Xenopus tropicalis: one gene and its partner. The protein of the gene in region 1 purifies or fractionates together with the protein of each later gene. This does not show direct contact. Links are inferred from orthologs where the notes say so. Each region holds a gene or a part of one and is shown on either strand. Other genes may lie near its edges.

What was found.
Region 2: the proteins of plekhm1 (region 1) and vps41 purify together in Homo sapiens (affinity purification with western blotting; 4 studies listed by BioGRID and IntAct, with this or other methods). This does not show direct contact. The link is inferred for Xenopus tropicalis from reciprocal best matches to the Homo sapiens genes PLEKHM1 and VPS41.

What each region holds. Positions count from the first base shown.
Region 1 is NC_030686.2:37,758,911-37,763,262, reverse strand, and holds the start of plekhm1 (pleckstrin homology domain-containing family M member 1), read right to left. Parts: upstream 2,951-4,352; 5' UTR 2,771-2,950; intron 1-2,770. UniProt on the Homo sapiens protein: Acts as a multivalent adapter protein that regulates Rab7-dependent and HOPS complex-dependent fusion events in the endolysosomal system and couples autophagic and the endocytic trafficking pathways.
Region 2 is NC_030679.2:130,755,952-130,759,771, forward strand, and holds part of vps41 (vacuolar protein sorting-associated protein 41 homolog), read left to right. Parts: intron 1-1,701; coding exon 1,702-1,763; intron 1,764-2,158; coding exon 2,159-2,240; intron 2,241-3,171; coding exon 3,172-3,264; intron 3,265-3,820. UniProt on the Homo sapiens protein: Plays a role in vesicle-mediated protein trafficking to lysosomal compartments including the endocytic membrane transport and autophagic pathways. Acts as a component of the HOPS endosomal tethering complex.

The DNA of each region.
Region 1 (4,352 bases):
TGCCCCCCAGTCGCAACCAAGGGGCAGGTGGGTGCCCCCCAGTCGCAACCAAGGGGCAGGTGGGTGCCCCCCAGTCGCAACCAAGGGGCAGGTGGGTGCCCCCCAGTCGCAACCAAGGGGCAGGTGGGTGCCCCCCAGTCGCAACCAAGGGGCAGGTGGGTGCCCCCCAGTCGCAACCAAGGGGCAGGTGGGTGCCCCCCAGTCGCAACCAAGGGGCAGGTGGGTGCCCCCCAGTCGCAACCAAGGGGCAGGTGGGTGCCCCCCAGTCGCAACCAAGGGGCAGGTGGGTGCCCCCCAGTCGCAACCAAGGGGCAGGTGGGTGCCACCCAGTCGCAACCAAGGGGCAGGTGGGTGCCACCCAGTCGCAACCAAGGGGCAGGTGGGTGCCACCCAGTCGCAACCAAGGGGCAGGTGGGTGCCACCCAGTCGCAACCAAGGGGCAGGTGGGTGCCACCCAGTCGCAACCAAGGGGAAGGTGGGTGCCACCCAGTCGCAACCAAGGGGCAGGTGGGTGCCCCCCAGTCGCAACCAAGGGGAAGGTGGGTGCCACCCAGTCGCAACCAAGGGGCAGGTGGGTGCCACCCAGTCGCAACCAAGGGGCAGGTGGGTGCCCCCCAGTCACAACCAAGGGGCAGGTGGGTGCCAGCCCAGTCACAACCAAGGGGCAGGTGGGTGCCAGCCCAGTTACAACCAAGGGGCAGGTGGGTGCCAGCCCAGTTACAACCAAGGGGCAGGTGGGTGCCACCCAGTCACAACCAAGGGGCAGGTGGGTGCCAGCCCAGTTACAACCAAGGGGCAGGTGGGTGCCAGCCCAGTTACAACCAAGGAGCAGGTGGGTGCCAGCCCAGTTACAACCAAGGGGCAGGTGGGTGCCACCCAGTCACAACCAAGGGGCAGGTGGGTGCCAGCCCAGTCACAACCAAGGGGCAGGTGGGTGCCAGCCCAGTCACAACCAAGGGGCAGGTGGGTGCCAGCCCAGTTACAACCAAGGGGCAGGTGGGTGCCAGCCCAGTTACAACCAAGGGGCAGGTGGGTGCCACCCAGTCACAACCAAGGGGCAGGTGGGTGCCACCCAGTCACAACCAAGGGGCAGGTGGGTGCCAGCCCAGTCACAACCAAGGGGCAGGTGGGTGCCAGCCCAGTCACAACCAAGGGGCAGGTGGGTGCCAGCCCAGTTACAACCAAGGGGCAGGTGGGTGCCAGCCCAGTTACAACCAAGGGGCAGGTGGGTGCCACCCAGTCACAACCAAGGGGCAGGTGGGTGCCAGCCCAGTTACAACCAAGGGGCAGGTGGGTGCCAGCCCAGTTACAACCAAGGAGCAGGTGGGTGCCAGCCCAGTTACAACCAAGGGGCAGGTGGGTGCCACCCAGTCACAACCAAGGGGCAGGTGGGTGCCAGCCCAGTTACAACCAAGGGGCAGGTGGGTGCCCCCCAGTCACAACCAAGGGGCAGGTGGGTGCCCCCCAGTCACAACCAAGGGGCAGGTGGGTGCCCCCCAGTCACAACCAAGGGGCAGGTGGGTGCCCCCCAGTCACAAGAAAGGAGCAAGTGGACGCTCCCCAGTTACAAGCAAGGGGCAGGTGGGTGCCAGCCCAGTTACAACCAAGGGGCAGGTGGGTGCCACCCAGTCACAACCAAGGGGCAGGTGGGTGCCAGCCCAGTTACAACCAAGGGGCAGGTGGGTGCCAGCCCAGTTACAACCAAGGAGCAGGTGGGTGCCAGCCCAGTTACAACCAAGGGGCAGGTGGGTGCCACCCAGTCACAACCAAGGGGCAGGTGGGTGCCAGCCCAGTTACAACCAAGGGGCAGGTGGGTGCCCCCCAGTCACAACCAAGGGGCAGGTGGGTGCCCCCCAGTCACAACCAAGGGGCAGGTGGGTGCCCCCCAGTCACAACCAAGGGGCAGGTGGGTGCCCCCCAGTCACAACCAAGGGGCAGGTGGGTGCCCCCCAGTCACAAGAAAGGAGCAAGTGGACGCTCCCCAGTTACAAGCAAGGGGCAGGTGGGTGCCAGCCCAGTTACAACCAAGGGGCAGGTGGGTGCCACCCAGTCACAACCAAGGGGCAGGTGGGTGCCAGCCCAGTTACAACCAAGGGGCAGGTGGGTGCCAGCCCAGTTACAACCAAGGAGCAGGTGGGTGCCAGCCCAGTTACAACCAAGGGGCAGGTGGGTGCCACCCAGTCACAACCAAGGGGCAGGTGGGTGCCAGCCCAGTTACAACCAAGGGGCAGGTGGGTGCCCCCCAGTCACAACCAAGGGGCAGGTGGGTGCCCCCCAGTCACAACCAAGGGGCAGGTGGGTGCCCCCCAGTCACAAGAAAGGAGCAAGTGGACGCTCCCCAGTTACAAGCAAGGGGCAGGTGGGTGCCAGCCCAGTTACAACCAAGGGGCAGGTGGGTGCCACCCAGTCACAACCAAGGGGCAGGTGGGTGCCCCCCAGTCACAAGAAAGGAGCAAGTGGACGCTCCCCAGTTACAAGCAAGGGGCAGGTGGGTGCCAGCCCAGTTACAACCAAGGGGCAGGTGGGTGCCCCCCAGTCACAAGAAAGGAGCAAGTGGACGCTCCCCAGTTACAAGCAAGGGGCAGGTGGGTCCCCCCGACACAAGGAAGAGGCAGGTTATTGCCCCTGCCTGGGTACAATGAGAGGTGCCAGTGGGTACCCAGAAGAGGCAGGTAGGTAGGCAGCACAGTAAGAAGTATCAGCACAGGGGTTGCATTAGAGTGAGATACGCTAGCGACACTCAGTAAATTGGCGCAATGCTGCTGGTTACCTGTGCGGATAGAAGACTCCAGGTGCCCGAGCAAACAGCGCAGCCAACACTCGCACCTCCTGCTCCTCCTGCCCCTACCGCTGCTGCTCTTTCTCTTCAGGGGACACTTCGTTTCCGGTCACGTGAACTCCATTCCACTTGACGTTCATGGGAGGCGGGGCCCAGAGAGGGACGCAACACTGTGGGCGGGGCGTGGGATGGGCCTGCTTCTGGGAGAGTGGCCGTACGGCGCTACTAGCTTCTGTTGTGCTGTGTTCATGCCGTTTATCGGGGGATTAAACTGAGACAACTCTGGAACGGTGCGGGGAGTTGATTATTTTTAGGCTGGGTTAGGGCGTAGTAGTAGTAGAAGTAGTTTAATAAATATTAATAAACAAATATATATAAAATTAAAATAACATAATTAAAATTAATATAAAATAAATATATATTAGATTCAAGTAAAGAACACACTAGGTTTAAAGACTCTACATCTGGCTGAAAACTGTTTCTTCTGTGCTTTGTAAAGTAGTTCACTATGGGGTATATTTATGATGCTGTCAAGCATTACTGGTGATGTTGCCCAGGACAACCAATCAGCAATTAGATTTCAACAGCATCTGATTGGCTGCTATAAGCAACATCACCATTTATGTTTTACTCCACTTTTTATACAGCACAATAAATATTCCCCTATAGGTCTAACCCATAGCAACCAGTTTCTATGGGGCAAAACTAAACAGACGTGATACCCACATTGGGTCTGCTGATCTGGTTGATTTCAAGCCACACTGTCCCACAGTTGGTCCATCAAAATTGAACATTTCATCTTCTGATTTACCCTCCTTGTACATACTGTTCCCTTTCCTAAAGAGTTAATACCTTCAATGTGTCAGGGCCAGCTCATTACATTTCCAGTGACTGTAAGGACTAATTAGTAAGTAATTGGCATATTCATATTAATGCCAGGAAGGAAGTGAGCACAGCACCCATGAGCACAGCACCCAGTGACGTGGTATCTGTGAACCCGACAATCAGACTCCTGACAAGATCCTACTCATAAGATTAAAGGAACAGTAACACCTAAAAATGAAAGTGTATAGAAGTAATTACAGTATAATGTACTGTTGCCCCGCACTGGTACAACTGCCTCAGAAATGTATATAAACAAAGCTGCTGTGTAGCCACAGGGCAGCCATTCAAAGAAGAAAAGATAAAACACCATTGTATTCTACAGAGGTTATCTGTTATCTGCTATGTAACCTGTGCCTTTTCTCCTTTTTTCCAGCTTGAATGGCTGCCCCCATGGCTACACAGCAGCTTATTTATATAAACTATATTAGTGTTACTGAAGCAAACACACAGCTTTTACCAGTGCAGGGCAACAGTCCATTTTATTTTAATTACTTGAAAAAAAACTTTCATTTTTTGGTGTTACTGTTCCTTTAAGACCCTAAAGCTGGCTACACTCAGGTACACCTTTTACCCAAGTTTCCAACCTCTGCAGTGGGGAAATCTTGCCACCAATCTCCATCAGATTCCATTTAGCCAATGACATTCCAGAAAACCCTATACCAGTTGTAAAATTACTCAGTGTTGTGAG
Region 2 (3,820 bases), on another chromosome or scaffold:
TATTTATCAAGTATTTCTGATTTCCTTTACAAATAAAGTGCTTATTATTTTTGGTGAGTTTTCAAAATGATTCTCTGCTGGGGAAAAATCCACTGCTTATATGAGATACAGATCTCTCCATGGAACAGGCCAGATAGAAGAACAGAAAGAAAGCAAATATGGGATTCTTAGAAAATAGATTTACTCTTGCAAGCTCAGAATTTTCTTATTAAGCTTTATTAGTTGTTTTCCATAACTGCACCAAAATATTACACAGTGTTTTTAGGAATAACATTTATAATTAGTGGGGTAACCAAAGCACTACTTTTAGTGAACGTTTTTCTGTTCATTTAAAGTAAGGAAGGAGGTATATGGACACATGCCCAGATAAGCTGTGGAGAAGTTGTTACAATTTGCAACATCAGTGTTTAGTCCCTCCTCCCCTGCCTGGATTTCAAATGAACGGTTTTGCAGCTGGATTCCAACTAGGGATGCACCGAACACAGGTTTTTGGGTTCGGCCGAATACAGAACCAAATCCGAATCCTAATTAGCATATTTCCGGGAGTGAAATTTCTTTCACTTCTGTGTTCGCACGGACATTTAACCCTAATTATGCTAATTAGGATTCGGTTCGGCCAGGATTCAGCCAAATTCAGCCAAATCAGAACCCTGCCAAAAAAGGCCAAATCCTGGCCAAATCCCGAACCGAATCCTGGATTCGGTGCATCCCTAATTCCAACATATAAAAATTATATTTATTTGTACTTTTTGAAGGAACAGATTACACTGATAGGTATATTAGGGGTTTCTGTGTTGTATGTTTTAGGTTGGAAGCTTGAGTTCCTCTTTTATTAGCATCAATACGGTGAAGGAACCAATCAGAACTAACACAATAAAAACCAATCCAATGCTGACAAGTAAATGCTAATTGCTGATTAGTTGCTATGGGTTACTAGATCCAGGAAAATGTTACACCTTTTATTACAATAATTTCAAATGAGAATAGACATAAAGATACCAAACAAGCAGATCTTTGTCTGATTTGGCCATCAATGTGCTGGGCTAAGTCAGACTGATCTGATCATTCAGCTACTGGGCCAATGATCGGATCATAAAAAAGCCCTATGCAGGTCTGTCGGGAGAGGACTACACCCACACACTGATTTGCTTGTCTCCCAGTACAGCACCTCTCCACTGGACTTCTTTACCTTTATACAAGGATTTAAGCTAAATAGTTTCAGCAGCACAGGGATTGGTAAAGCACCAGGCACAAAATGTGAAGGAAACCTCGGGAGAGACATAGAAAGAGGTGGTACTTGTAAAACAAATGGTTTGGTCTGTGGTAGAAAGGAGATGGTTGGAGGCTCATGTGAAAGAAGCCTTAAGTTGCTGTACTCTGCTGGCTCTCTTAGTAGACGTCTTATTGGGTGGTGGGGTTTGCCAAGATCTTCTAGGGGTCCTTAGAGTGTTTTTTCTCCAAGTACATAAGAGTAACACAACAGTCCAGTTTATATATATATATATATATATATATATATATATATAATGTATTATTCTTGAGACTACAATTTAAACATTGACAATTTTCATGGTTGCATCTTTGTGTGGACACATGTATGTATGTATGTATATCTTTATTTATAAAGCGCTACTTATGTACACAGCGCTGTACAGTAGAATACTGTACATCTGTTTGCAGATGTTAATATTTCTTTTTTAGGATATTGGATTATCGTACATAACTCATTTGGTGGAAAAACGAGATTATGACATGGCAGCAAGGTAACTGCATGACTACTTGCCTGGGTTTATTAAAGGAGAAGGAAAGGTAAAAACTAAGTAAGCTTTATCAGAAAGGTCTATGTAAATACAGCCATAAGCACTCACAGAAACACTGCACTGAGTCCTCTATCAAAAGAAACACATGATTGATTGTCTCCTGTTTTCCTGTGCCAGAGTCTGGCACTTTGACTCATTCAGTTGTATTTGTAAAGTACATATGTATAGGCCATCAACTTAATACTAGTACTAAAATGTTTCCAATCGGAGTGCAGCCTTTATTACCCCGCACATCTGGTGGGGGAAGCAATATCCTTAAATTACTCTTAAAAGGGGAAGATATATAGTGAAATCTAACACATAAATGAGTTTCTTATGAATGAGATTTTTTTTTTCAGAAAATGTCAGAAAATACTTGGCAAAAATATGAAACTCTGGGAAGATGAAGTCTATCGGTTCAAGAAAATAGGGCAACTTAAGGTAATGTTTAAAACATGTATGTAGTACAGGTGTTGGATCTTTTATCTGGAAACCTGTTATGCAGAAAGCACTGGAATGCCATCTCCCATAGACTCCATTTTAATAAAATAATCGAGTCGCTGCTGTCATGATTCAGTTACCGGGGGCAGCAAAAAGTCGTTTCTGGTAACTTAAAGAGCCGAAATTCCGATTTTAAATCAGAATTTTGGCTCTTCTAGTGCAGCGAGCGCTATAGGGTAAATTAACTCCCTCATGTTTCATCCAGTTTCAAGTGAAACTTAAACACATTATCGTTTTCCAAGAATGAGCACCAATGCTCCTAAAATGGCTGCTGGAGCAATTCCTGTGTGGGAAATATAAAGAGGATTAATGGAAACGAATGTTAGTTTAAACTCAAATTTTTTCAAGTTTTAACGACACGGCTCTCGGCTTAAAAAATTCGGGATTTCCAAATATAAACTCGAAAATTTTATACAAATGATTCAAGTATTACCGTGACATTTTTATGAATATAACAATAAACGAGTTTAATTCAAATTTATACCATGTCAAGTTTATATGATTTTCATTCATCCAGGTCACAATATAAAGTATCTAGTAGAATTAAGTCTAAAACAACTGGACTTTTTCTGAGTTTTTTCTTGAAAACCTTTCACCACTCATCCGAGTGGCTTCTTCAGTTCAAATGGTTTAAATGCCGGGGAATTCCTTACCAGTCATTTGAACTGAAGAAGCCACTCTGATGAGTGGTGAAAGTTTTCAAGAAAAAGTAAATCTGGGAAAAAACGAAACATAAAAAAAAAAAAAAAATCAAACTTTTCTCAGAGAACCTAAGTAAATGGGCCCCTTACTGTCTCTTATTACCATACTTTTGGGGGGTTAGTGTGTTAGTGTATTGCAGCTAAAAATGAAATGTATCTCTGTCTTGCAGGCAATAAGCAAGTATCTGCCCAGGGGAGATTTACGTCTGAGACCTGCAATTTATGAAATGATCTTGGATGAGTTTTTGAAAACAGATTATGAGGTATTGTGTTCATTTTAATACAATATTATGCACATTTATTGCCCATGATTCAAGGCACACAAAAGTTCTGAATGCAAATGGAGCTGTAACTATTGTATCTCTTTAGAATATTACATCATCTTTAAAGGGAGTAATATAAAACAGTTTCACTACCCAACACTACTTCTACATAGCCAGCCATAGACCTCTCAATTTTTTTTAAAAGTTAAGTACCTAGTGTGAAATGCACCAAGGCATGTCATATAACAACTCCAAAAATATACATTTATAATACACAAGAACCATGAATATCCTGTAAATAATATCCTTATAACCGGTACTTAGTGATGTCATCAGTTATAATTGGTACTTAGTGATGTCATTTCTGCCACATGACTCACTGAAAGTTGTATATTATAATAAAGTCCCCCCTGTGAAAAATATGAGGATATTACCTTGGAGTTCCATGACCTGTATAAATGCACTCTGTCTCCGGCCTTGCTCCTTTTTATGGTCATAAAACCCCTGGGTGACTTATAATATCCTTATTTTTACAGTAGTGAGTATATTATTCACT